Drosophila melanogaster: one gene and its partners. The protein of the gene in region 2 interacts with the protein of the main gene of each other region in a pairwise test. Each region holds a gene or a part of one and is shown on either strand. Other genes may lie near its edges.

Region 1 (3,507 bases), 2.3 Mb from region 2:
ACCTGTCCCAAGTCTCTTCTTCAGTCTTTAGCAAATCGTGATCGCGAGAAGAACGACCAGCGGTCAAAGAAAATCAGATTTCGCGGAGGAAAGGTCGAAATTGTTTGAAAAAACGCTTAGTTTGCAGCTGTGTAAAATAAATAGTGCACAATATTACTATTACAATAATATTTGTAGAAAAGTTATACCATTTAATCTTGTTGCAATTGTTTCCCAGGCCATATTGTTTGCCAAATCGATTGTGGCTTGGTGTCGGCCAAGAATTTTCAGCCAGGAACCGGTTTCTGCGCTCCCACGAATCCAGCGATTAAAAGAGAGAAATAAAGAGAGTTTCCAAGTTGAAAACATAAACAAACCCAATCGCAAAATAATAACAAAACCCAGTGCTTGCAGAGGGACAAGGCAACACGTGCACTTCTGCACGAATGATTGCAATTTTTTGAGCCCAAGAATACCGCACTTAATAATAAAAATCAATCATGAGTCTGCCCCAGTTGATCGAGGATCTGCAGCGCCTTTCCGAGGATCAGGATAGTGCAGATGTGGTATTCATTTGTGGCAGAGATGAGCGCATATATGCCCATAGATTAATGCTAATGGCTCGGTAAGTTAAATTGTTTTTTCAAACAAATACTTAAGAGATTAATAAATTTTGGTGATACCTTAAAATCTTATAAATGCCAATAACTGTATAATTTTTCTCTGTGGAATAAGATAATTGCCTACGGTTGCCTTTTTCGGAATCTTACAATGTTGCGTGCTGGAATCCCGGGTATTCCAGTTGGTCACTTAATTAATTTGTCTTGCCTTTCCATTCACTCAATTCGATTTCAGGTGCAAGAGCTTCAAGACTGCGAAGAGAGGTGAAGTGTGTCGAATTCCCGGATGCACAGTATCGCCAGCAGCCCCAGGAGCTTCAACTCCGACCACCATACGATTACCACACGTGAATCCGGAACTATTCAGGCAGTTCATCTTGTACGTTTACACCGCAAAGGTAAGAAAACTACTTATTAGTAACATCTAACATAATAAAATTATAACCAAAATTCATTTTTCAGTTGGTTCTCCAGGACTCGCAAGTATTTCAAATGATGATATTGGCACAGGATATCGGTGTGGTTGAGCTACGAACTGCCTGCGAGGATCACGTTATATCGACATTGTCGGTGGATAATGCCTGCACATTTTTAACCGCCGTTATGGATATACACGAAAAAGCAGGTTAGTAATATTGAGTAGCTCTTTTAGAAAATCACACCTTTAAAAGTAAGCAATTATGTGAAGTTGCATATTCGCGCCAAAACACTTTATACATTCTACATAATATGCTATGTCAAATGTATTGAGACTAACCATTCTGAAAGTTTTGGTATTTTTTGTACCACATCACATATCGATAAGAAAAAACATATGCACGTTGTGTTATCAGAATCACGTAACACGCAATGCATGTTTTTATTGCATTATCAAACTTTAGATATAACAACTAATCAATAGCTGGCAGATATAGTTAGTCCCAAGCTGCTCCAAAATGCAGAAGCCGATTCGTGTGTTTAGAACTTGGATTGTTCACGTTGTATTCTTTGGCCGTACACCCGAGAAATGAGGTTCCACGAGTCCATAAACCGGTCCATGCACATGGAAATGCATTTCTAAATTGGATATTAATGAAATACTATTTAAATACATATTCTATAGTGCAAAATAAGATATGTATAGCTTGCCTGTTCGGACGAATCGAGGGAAGTTCCCGGCTTATTGACACATTTTTTGAAGCACTTTTCGGTCATTTGCGTGAGCAATTCCTGGGCATTCGCAACAGCAATCTGTTGCTTAACCTGGTCCATAAGTTCACCTTTGTCCACATTAGCCATAGCCATTTGTTTGGTTTTCTTTATAAACTATAGTTTAATTCAGCTATGAATAAATGGCAACAACTTCTGCCCAACCACAAAAACTTAACAGTGCGATTGTGATAGTGTTTCTATCGATATGGTTATGCTACCAGAGGATTTACCATTTTGGTATCTTTAGGCTGGTCGATAGTTCGGTAGGCCGCGATTATGTGTGACCATCTGTGCTGTGCCATCGATATTTCTGCCTATCGCCTGGACGAAAAGAAGACGCCGGCAAAAAGAAGCGAAAATTTGTTTAACTCAAATTAAGTCGTCGGAAATCAGCAAAAATGTCGTTCAAAGGAAATCCCAAGGTGCAGAAGGTGATGGTGCAGCCCATCAACCTGATCTTCCGTTACCTGCAGAACCGGTCCCGCGTGCAAGTTTGGTTATACGAGAACATATCGCTGCGCATCGAGGGCCACATTGTGGGATTCGATGAGTACATGAATCTGGTGCTGGACGACGCCGAGGAAGTCTATGTGAAGACCCGGCAGCGCCGCAACCTCGGGAGGATCATGCTCAAGGGCGACAACATCACGCTCATACAGAACGTCAGTCCCACGAAGGACTAGGCGACTCAGCGGCCATCCTGCGAATCCTTCGAATTCCACCTGCAAACGCTGAACGCCCTTAATATAAGTAAAATAAATGTAAAGCCGATATCTGAAGACGAATGTTGAAATAAATGGTAGACTTTCTGTAATCAAGTGTTTCTAATGGGTAAGGTAGCAAATACGATCCGATTTCAGGACATATAGAATAGGATGCTGTCTCAAGGTAAAAGCCGTTGAGTGTCTTTAAAAAACAAGGAATTAATTTTAAACTTTCCCTTTAAATTTCAGGTGCCAAATGCGCTGCCTCGTTTATGGAACGCTGCATCATCTACATAGGGGAAAATGCAAATGAGTGCGTTAAGACTAATGCCTTCCTTACTTTAACAAAGGATGCCATTATTAAGATTATTTCCTCAGACTATGTAAGAGTTTATAATGAATAACCACTCAATTTACTGAATTTCTTTAATTACCAAAACTGTTAACTACCAATAGTTCTGCTTGGAAGAGGAGGAAGTGTGGCGCTGCGTTTTATCCTGGGCCAAATACCAGGCAGGAGTCACCCAACCCACTGCACATTGGACTGAGGAGGAGCGTGCTCGTGTCTGCCAACACTTAAGCGGTGTAATGGGTCACGTGCGTCTGCTTCTCATCGATAGCCAAGTTTTCGCGGAGGAAGTGGAACCTACAGGAGCTGTACCTATGGAACTATCCCTAGAACGATATCGCTATGCCGCTTTGCATGCCAATAAGATGATGGATAACGATAAGAGACTTCAGCCCCGCCTAGCTGTAGCGGTCAACATGTTTCCCGGATCCCAAATCCTGAAGAATGACAATCTGGCACTACAGACTGTTCTCAATAATTGGGTTGGAGTGGGCAAGCAATCCTGGAGATTAGTTTTCCGAGCGTCCACTCATGGCTACGATTCTGGAGCCTTTCATCGTTATTGCGACGGCGTGGCTCCTTGCATGGTTATTGGCTTGGGATCGCATGGAGAGATCAGTGGTGGTTATACGGATGTGGCGTGGGCCAAAACAAGCCGAAAGGG
Region 2 (4,463 bases):
TTACCACACAATTAGCCCAAGGAGGCTCGTTCGAGGAACATATCTTGGCCATTTTGAATTGAAAGCATTATCGAGAACAACACAAAGTAATGATAGTGCTAATGACGAGAGGCCTGCTGGCGATTAGGCGAGCTCACAGAACGTGTAAACAAATTGCCAGCCAACTAAAGGACTAATCACCTGAAAGGACCCTCTAACACACACTCACACACACGCACATCCCGAGGTGCCCCAAAATCCCCTTTTGGACCCTGTCAGATGATGGCCCACATAATCAGGTCTGACTCGCTGCCATCGTGTAAACAAAACTACAATTAATCAAAGATTTTTACCTAACGGGACTATATTACACGAGGCTTTGGTTAATTGCATAAATAAAACTGGGACGGTCCGGGTGGGTGGAGTAAAGCTTAATTAAGCCTGCTCCACCACCTGCCGACTCCCCATGGACCGGGCAAATAAATAATAAAAACAGAAATTGACACAAACGCACACAATTGTGGGTGGATAGTATGGAATGGGATGGGATGGGCATTGAAACAAACACGGAAATGGTTGCCAGAATAAAGGGACAGAATGGCCAACAAGGAAGTGCAGTGTCCTTAGGCTCTGGGCCAAGGGTGGTGGAGGAGCATAACCATAATACACCCGGGTCAAAGGTTATCGTTACGGGTTCGCTTCACTAAGCTGGCCTTTTATTAACCTTCTCGCAATGGGTTCGCACTATCCACAAATATGAGCTCTTTCACTTCTACGATTTTAATTGTCATATTTAGAAATGCGTGAAACATTTTGTTAATAACTATTAATAACTATTCTTGTTTGTTGGCTATCAAGAGATATATAATATAAACCAAACTACAGTTAAAGCTGCCGATCTTGTAGTTTATTGAGTAACTTGCGAAGGTAAAACAAAGTGGGATCCACCGCCACTAATCAAAATTCGTGTATAATGTGTAGTAGTAGAATTAAAATCATTTTGCGGGCCCAGCAACCGAGGCGATCTCCTCCCGTCCTCCTGCACCAGTCGTCCCCATAGGTCTTGCATGCATTTCAGCGTGAAATGGCGATGGACTAACGAATGTGAGAGCGCTCCAAGGAATTCTAACGACTGCGCCCCGAATCCTGCGGATCGATATTGGACACCCATTGCACGGGATTGATGTAGATGTTGGATATGGTACCGCGCAGCGTGTCAAAGCCCTGATTGAGGGGAACCGGCTTGGCCCGCTTGTCCACCTGTTTCATCCAGTTCTGCCAGGCGCCTTGGCGGCGCTGACGGCGTTCCTCCTCCAGTTTCTGCTTGTTGCACTGCAGTCGGATCAGGCGTTGTTTTTCCTGTTGCTGCTGCTCCCGCTTGGCTTGCTCCCACTTCTGCAGACGGTTCTTTGTGTTCTCGGGAGACACCTTCCTTGTAGGGGCGGTGCTAGAGCTGGAAACCGATCCCAAACTGGAGCTAGAGGTCGAGGATTTCTTTTGCTTTTGCCGCTGCTGCTGCTGCTGCTCCTCCTTGCGACGACACCACTCCTGGAAGTGCTCCTGGGCATATTTCTGTCGCAGTGCTGCCTCCGCCTCCCGCTTTTCGCGCTCCTGTTTGGCAGCCAGCAGATTCTTCTGCTTCTCGGCGGCCTTTCGCGCCTTCCAGTCCTCGAAGGCCTGCGGGCCAGGGCGTTCCTTATGCTCCTCCAGCTGCTTGTAGCACGTGGACGAGTCAGAGACGACGCTGGCCAGGCTCAGAGGGGGCATACCGGTGCATCCATCGGTGGACTGCAGAGCACCGCGGTACATGTCCGACCAGCTGCAGGTGGACATCGAGGATGCGTCATGGTTTTGATTGTTGCCCGAGCTACTCAGGCTGTATGTCCGACTGGAAATCTGGCCCTGGTTAGTCTCCTTTACGGAGGCCTGCTTGTAGAAGGTCCTGCCGCTCAGCGCATCCAGATTGTTATCCTTGCAAAAGGTCCTGGTGTTAATGCTGTGCGATTTTTCCTCCTTGAAAAATGTCCTGCCGCTGATATTGTCCAAATTGTCGACATCCTCACCGCGTTGCGTCACCGTTGGCGTGCAGCTGCCTAAGGAGCTAAGGCTCTGCACATCGTGATCAAAGTTCATCACGGTCTCCGTGTCCGTGGCAGCCGCCTCATCGCCTTTGTTCATGACCCGGTGAAACACATCATCTGCATTCGCTTTATCCTCAACTTTCGCCTTCTCGTCTGTGAAGCTCATTCTGCCATTTAGCAATGCATCGTTGGCCTCCTCCTCATCCAGTTCCTTGCAGAAACTCAAAATGGAATCCGTCTCGCTTTCCGAATTGTCGGCATGATCCCCCAGAGAATCCCCAAAATCCTCATAATCTAGCTGAGGTTCCACCGCTTCACGATCTTCACCCTGGCCAACATACCTCACTGTGGGAGCCCCATAGGTGTGGTTTGTATAGCCCAGCAGCGACTCCGAATCCTCATCACTAATGTCCGACTGGGAAGCTGGACGTACTTTTTCCCGACCAGACACCTGCTGACGATCCACCACCGAGCCATCGCTACTCCGACGCGCTACAAAGGCCATTCCGGCAGTCTGCGAAAGATCGACAAAAGTGGGGGATGTGGAAATTGAATTGGGAAAGATTTCTCTCGAGTTTTCGAGACGATATGTCGTGTCGGCTTTGTGTCTGTAGACTGCTGAAACATAAAATGTACACAACGACTGACAATCAAAGCGTAAGTTCACCGATTGCTGTGGTCGAAAAATAGAGTAAAATATTCCATTTAGAGTCACATCTAAGTATACCAAAGTGTAAAGCTCGTTAGTGTTTTTATGAGAGACTGCATTTTAACATTCTGTTTAATACGTTTAACTAAGAAACCGAAATCATTAAATATGAAAATGGAAATTCATTGAATTTCCGCTCTGACAGGTTACAAATTTGATATCTTTTCCGCCATCACCAGATACCACATGCACACGTATGTGCGTCCGGTCCGGGCACGAGTCCGGTGCAAAATGAAAACATTTTAACTAATGGCAAACAATTACTTAAACAACGAGCCGAATGACGGCGCGAAGGATGAAACCAAAGGTAATTAAAACCCAACACCACACGCATCCTCATCCACATAAACCTCAATTTCAGCGGGTGAATTTTGGGGTGTTGGAGCGAAAAGTCGCCGGCTCAAAAATCGTTTGTTGTCCTATGAGGGCGGCGAGTTCGTTTGTTTCTCTGCCTGCTCTTGGCCAGGTAATGAGCGTCTCTTTCGTTTTTAATGAGTCCTGGCACACATACACACACACGCACATTGAGATAGTGTGGAGCTCACCTGGGTTCCTCCCCCAGACTCAGGTGTAATAAAAAAACTTATCGCCGCTGGCTTTTGGGCGCTCTGGGTCGCGGCGTTTGGCAAACACAATGAAATGATTTTGTACCTCGTTAATTGCTGTATCGTCGTTCACCATCATCTTGGCTCTCAAATTAAGGCTGAACGGTGAGTGACACAATTAAGTTGGCCCTTTTTTCAACGACCTGCCAAATGACTTGTCAAAAAGTGGGCGTGGCTGGGTATGTGGTTGCGTGTGTCATCTACAATAGGCTCAGTGCTCCATTTCCAGAATCAGGTCAAAGATAAAGCTGCTTTAAAGCCGCTAGCCAAAAATAAAAAACTACAGTGAAAGGACTCTGGCTTAAAATCAATATCGATTAATTATTGTAAGCTGCAGGTCTAAGTACACGGTATTCCACGATTTCAATTAAAACAAGTCAGGTTTCTCGACTATCGAACACCCTCTACACAGCTGCTTGGATTGAGATATAGATATGAAAAACAAGAGATAAAGAGGTAAATACTCTTGTCGAGATTGCTGATCAGCGCTACCTGGTGGCGGTTTCCAGACGCCTTAAAACAAACCATGGACCCTCGAAAGATCTAATGGACTTGGGCGATACCCTGCAATCGTTGGAGACCATAACGTACTTAGACTTAAAGTATTTAAATATTTTCTGTTGGATAATAATGTACTGGGAATTGGCGGAGCCAACTGTTGCATTGGCCGATGAAATTCCGACAAGTGGTTAAGCCATTATGAAATGTTTCGGTTACACATTTCAGGCACGCAGCCAATAAAAGTTTTATTTTGAGTTTTAATTATATTTTTAACCCGTGTTATTGTCACGGACGAGCCATTGATTATTGAACGATTGGACGATGCGCTGGTTGTTGGTCTTTGGGCGCCCGTTTAATTAAAAACGTGACAATTTTACCTGTGGCCAGTGCGGCGCATATTTCATACGCCATGTGTGACCTCTGACCCACTCGCAGACTGGCCCGTCGAGTCTACATCCATTTGAAAATATATAAAATGTTGTTTACACTAATAACAAACATTTCACGTTCCGCCGTCGAATGTCGTTACATTTCACTTTCGCCAGCCACAAATTTAATTAAGTGTATGAATATGACGGCGGTGGTGGA
Region 3 (4,485 bases), on a different chromosome or scaffold from region 2:
GGAAGGCGGCTACGTGAACCGTGTGGATGAAGTTCTGACTTAGCTGCAGGATCTCCAAACGAGGCACTGCATTAAAGATCTGATCCCGGAGGACGCCAAGACTAGTGCCCTGCATCTGCAGGGAGGTTAGATTTTCCACTGGCCTCAGACTCTCCTTGCTAATGTGGTAGGTGGCACAGTTGCGGATAACCAAGGTGCGAAGACCAGGTGTAAGTTGCAGAACCAGCCATGTGATCGATTGCCGGCTGCAGTTTCTCAAGTGCAATTCCCGGAGCTGAAGAGCCGGAGTCGCAGAGTATGCCACTGGCCGATCACTTAAGCTGCAGAAGGAATCCGGGCAACTGGCACTGAGATTAAAGCGTCCGGAGGCATCGTACACGGCAAGTGCATCGCTTACCGTTAAGCCGCAAATACCGAGTAAAATGTACTTGTAAAAATGCATGTTATTCCGTATCACTTTGCTCGCGCTTTGTTCGACTGCAAATATTGCACTAGCCCCGATCGAAGCGGCAACAGCATCATGTTCTTATCATCTGGATTTGTGGACCAGCGGGTGGAGCTTTACTCACTGCTGATAGTGGGTAATTTAAATACCCATGGGAGCTTTGCCGAGAGCAACAAAGTAAAGCTTTCGCCTCGTTCAGTTAGTTGATAAGGCAATTCAGAATCAATTCCGTCATATTTCAGATACATATACTGAGATGTTTCAACCTACGTTTACAAACCATTGGGGAAATGCTTGTGTTCAAAATAGATGTGGCCCTGGAAAATAAAATGTAATAATTGATGTTTAAATTTGATGCATTTCAATTATTCGTTATAGTAGTATATATTGTATATATATATCATTCAGCATGTAGGCACATCCAAATGAGTAGCCGGTTATTTAAATGTGCATGGTAGGAAAAACTCAAGAGATTCTTTATTATTATTTAAGGAAAAGTTTAAATATATACATGTTAAGTAGAATGATTATATTACAGGATAATTTCATCATCAGATTCGTTTGAAAACATTTCGATTATGGCAGGTACCGATGATGATTGCGTGAACTGGTTTCTTCCTCTCAAACGAATGAGTTTCACGATTAGAAAAGAGTTTACGAACAAGGAAACAATCAGGGAAACTAGCATCAGTACGTTCCATACATTCCATTGATAAGTGTCGTTGCTTAAAGGATTAACTTTGGTATCTATGGTTTGGTTTGTGTCGGCGCTTATACTCGTAGGAAAATCTCTGGCATCTGGTATGCACGGCTTACAAGTTGGAGTCGTGTTGTTTGATTGACTGTATTGCGTTTTCTCTAAGACGTTTACTCCAATTTCATTGAAGAACTTTGTAATATTTTTATAGCCCTTAGGCTGGAATTTATTATCGTACAGAGCAACCTCTTTCAGACTTGGATGAGGTTTCCAGGGTGTAAGTTCAAAATTGTTAATATAATTTCCCTCCAAATGCAAACTTTGAAGATTGAAAGCTTCGTCAATGCCAACCTTTGCGGGAGCATATATTCTATTGTACGAAGCGTCCAAATGAGTAAGCCTTTCCCATGGAATTGGCGAATCGAAGTGCAGACGCGTCAGGCGATTTGCCGATAGGTTCATATACATAAGATTGGGAAGTATGAAGAGCTCGCTCGTATTGTCGCTTCCGGCGGCTGCGTATATCCCTATGATATTCTCGGATAGATCCAGTCGTTGCAGTCGCCACATGCCCGTTAGAAGTTTGGGAATATCGGTAGCGGTCAGTAAATTGCTATGCAAATCCAGTTCGATAACAGAGCTTTTGTCGGGTAATTTAATCTCGGTTATATGGTTTTTCCTCGCCTGGAGTTTATGGACACTGCCCAAAATGTCCAGGCGCTGCACACCGCTGTTGTCGAGGATCAAGGTATGTGCACCGGGCAATGAAAGATCCGGCAGCGGTCCACAGTTGCTCATGTCCAAAAGGCGTAGGTTACTTAGAGATTTTAGAGACGTAGGCGCTATCCATGTCAAGGGATTCCCATTGAGTAGCAGCATCTCTAGCTTGGGAACGCCTGTAAAAATGTTTTCGTGAAGAGTTTCGATTCTATTGCCACTTAGGTCGAGATGCAGAAGTTCTGGTAGGTTTTGAAATACATCCCATGGCAAACCTTGAATACCATTCCCCGGCAGAGACAGCAGCCAGAGCTGAGCTAGGCCTTTAAAGCATTCATTGGATAGTCTCGTTATGTTGTTCCCCCCCAGCATAAGGATCTTCATGTTTGGCCACTTCGAGAAGTGTTCGTCGTGCAGCCCCAAAAGATTTCCACGTCGCAATTGAAGGCTTGTTAGGTACGGCAGTTGATTCAGGTCGTTCATGGTGAAGTCCGGACTGTCGCAGTTCTCCAGCTCCAGGGTGCGCAGATTGGGCATAAGTTTGAGTACCTTCTTTTCGCAGGAGTCCATGTGGAACTCGGTTAGTTTGGTAGCCTTCTTATCGCTAAACGTCCGGCTCCGACCAAGTAAATGGCAATAGGAATCATTGCAGTAGTCCTCCAAGTCTGGGCGGCCTAAAGCGGATACACTTGCAAGCAGGGCGATGATTATTAGGTACATAGTTGCTTTTCATAACAACTACAACTACTATAACTTTTGAAACCTAACCGCGTTTACAATCTGTTGATATATAGGTAGTACCTGTACTTGCTAAAGATGGAACGAGTCAGCTGTTCGCCCGTATCTATTCATATCGATTACGCAGAAGACACATTAGAAGATCGATTAGATTATCGATTATCGCCGGGCTGTTGAATTTTAAATTAGATTAAACATTTTCTAGTGATTTTAAAATATTTGTTTGTTCCTTTAAAACATTTTTAACCATTCACTATGCTTTTCAATATTGTTACCGGTGGCTAGCTGAATATTTCTATATATATTCTTAAGGAACACCCAACTTATGAGTTTATAAAAAGTGACATAATTAAAACTTCTTAATAAACTTTATGGGACAATTATTTGATGAAAATGTGAAGCCTCTGTGTCTACAGTATTATCTTTCAATACCCAGTGAATACGCCAAATGCCAGGAACATCTTCGCTTATCGGGGACAACAGACCAACATGTTCCACATAAAAAGAAGTTTCTTAGCTTCGCAAATAAAAGATAGCCAAGGGGGGGTGAGATCCTTTAATTCCCTGCATAATTCCAAGTCAGACAAGCGTTAAAAACATTTCATTATAACGCTACACAATCGGAATATTTAATGATTTAATCGGCCAAACGAATCGGGGACAACACCTAAGAAAGGACGAGGAGTCTCGATAAACTGCTTCAAATTCACAGATTTTAAATTTCAAATCGCTGCCACACGGCACAAAACAAGCGAACATGTAAAAAGCAGCCAGGTTCTGGCCAAGATCTGAGCCCCATACCCATACCCATAGCCATACCTCAACCATACCATTCCATTCCATTCTCAACGTTGGCTCGATATAATGGCGCGAGTTTCATGTTTACAGAAAAGATTATGCAGCCCCAAACAAGCGAGGGAAAAGCAGCAAGAACCAAAAGATACAAACGTGCAGAGGTTGCAGGCAACGCGGGATTTGCAGACCTTTGGATGCAACCTGAACACCGAGAACTGAAACTGGAGTTCTAATTAAACAATTCGTAGAATTTCGCGTTAATTGCGAGAAAACGACTTGAACGTGCTCGGCGGATTGGCCAAGGCTCTGGGACTCCGTTCCTCCCCCAATCTCCTTTTGGTTTCCACCATCACTCCACTCCACTTACTCCTCCTTTCCCATTCCCCATTTTAGGTGACACGTTCTGGGAAAGTAATACTGGCAAAGCTACACCCAAAAAAGAGTGTTTTTTTTGCAAATTTAGGATCAAGCTTAAGCCTACGGAGTACGGAGGACACCATTGTAAACTATTTAAAAATAATACTAATACTTATTAACTTAATTATATTTCCCGTAGGTATTAGAAGGTGTATCTTCGATTCCCAAATGAACTACTGTTTGGTTTTGTGTTTTTTTTTCTGAGTGCTGTGGGAAAGCTTTGCACTCCGTCTAGATCTGGTGTCATTTCACATGTGTGCCTTCATTTGACGAGGATGAGCTCTGTTATTAACACGCCTACCGGCATTACCCCTTGGAAGCCTCCTCACCAAAATGGCACAATGCTCTGGACTTTTTACACATGTGAGAAGGCTGGCCAACTTGGAGAGAAAACTCAATTCAAATTATCGCCAAACAAGATCGACAGATGTTCAACGGGCACAACAACAGAAATGCCGAGGTGACGGGGACTGGGATGCGGAAGGGACTAAGGGGCCAAGGGAGCTGGAAGATGAAGGGAGGTCAATGAGGTGCACCGACCGATCGGCCAGATCGATCTTCCTGCAGTCAAAGAAAAAAAAATAAAAAAGAATGCAGAGCATAAAGCCCGAAGCCAGAGTCAAAAGCAGTCGCACGTCTCGCTGAGCAAATAACGCCCCAAAATGAAATAACACAA

Evidence for each region. Proteins that work in one complex are often made in the same cells at the same time.
Region 1: the proteins of CG18266 (region 2) and SmE interact in a two-hybrid assay, tested with the Drosophila melanogaster proteins (one large-scale study listed by BioGRID).
Region 3: the proteins of CG18266 (region 2) and CG7800 interact in a two-hybrid assay, tested with the Drosophila melanogaster proteins (one large-scale study listed by BioGRID).

The regions. Positions count from the first base shown.
Region 1 is NT_033779.5:7,884,025-7,887,531, reverse strand, and holds SmE (small ribonucleoprotein particle protein SmE), read left to right. Parts: upstream 1-2,081; 5' UTR 2,082-2,188; coding exon 2,189-2,473; 3' UTR 2,474-2,602; downstream 2,603-3,507. Other genes in the region: CG34132 (uncharacterized protein), read right to left, coding at 1,557-1,655, 1,728-1,883; CG7102 (uncharacterized protein), read left to right, coding at 480-604, 835-997, 1,062-1,224, 2,744-2,877, 2,951-3,507. UniProt on the Drosophila melanogaster protein: Plays a role in pre-mRNA splicing as a core component of the spliceosomal U1, U2, U4 and U5 small nuclear ribonucleoproteins (snRNPs), the building blocks of the spliceosome.
Region 2 is NT_033779.5:5,595,041-5,599,503, reverse strand, and holds CG18266 (uncharacterized protein), read right to left. Parts: upstream 2,672-4,463; 5' UTR 2,566-2,671; coding exon 1,105-2,565; 3' UTR 868-1,104; downstream 1-867.
Region 3 is NT_033777.3:8,216,155-8,220,639, reverse strand, and holds CG7800 (uncharacterized protein), read right to left. Parts: upstream 2,684-4,485; 5' UTR 2,580-2,683; coding exon 978-2,579; 3' UTR 906-977; downstream 1-905. Other genes in the region: CG18249 (uncharacterized protein), read right to left, coding at 1-442.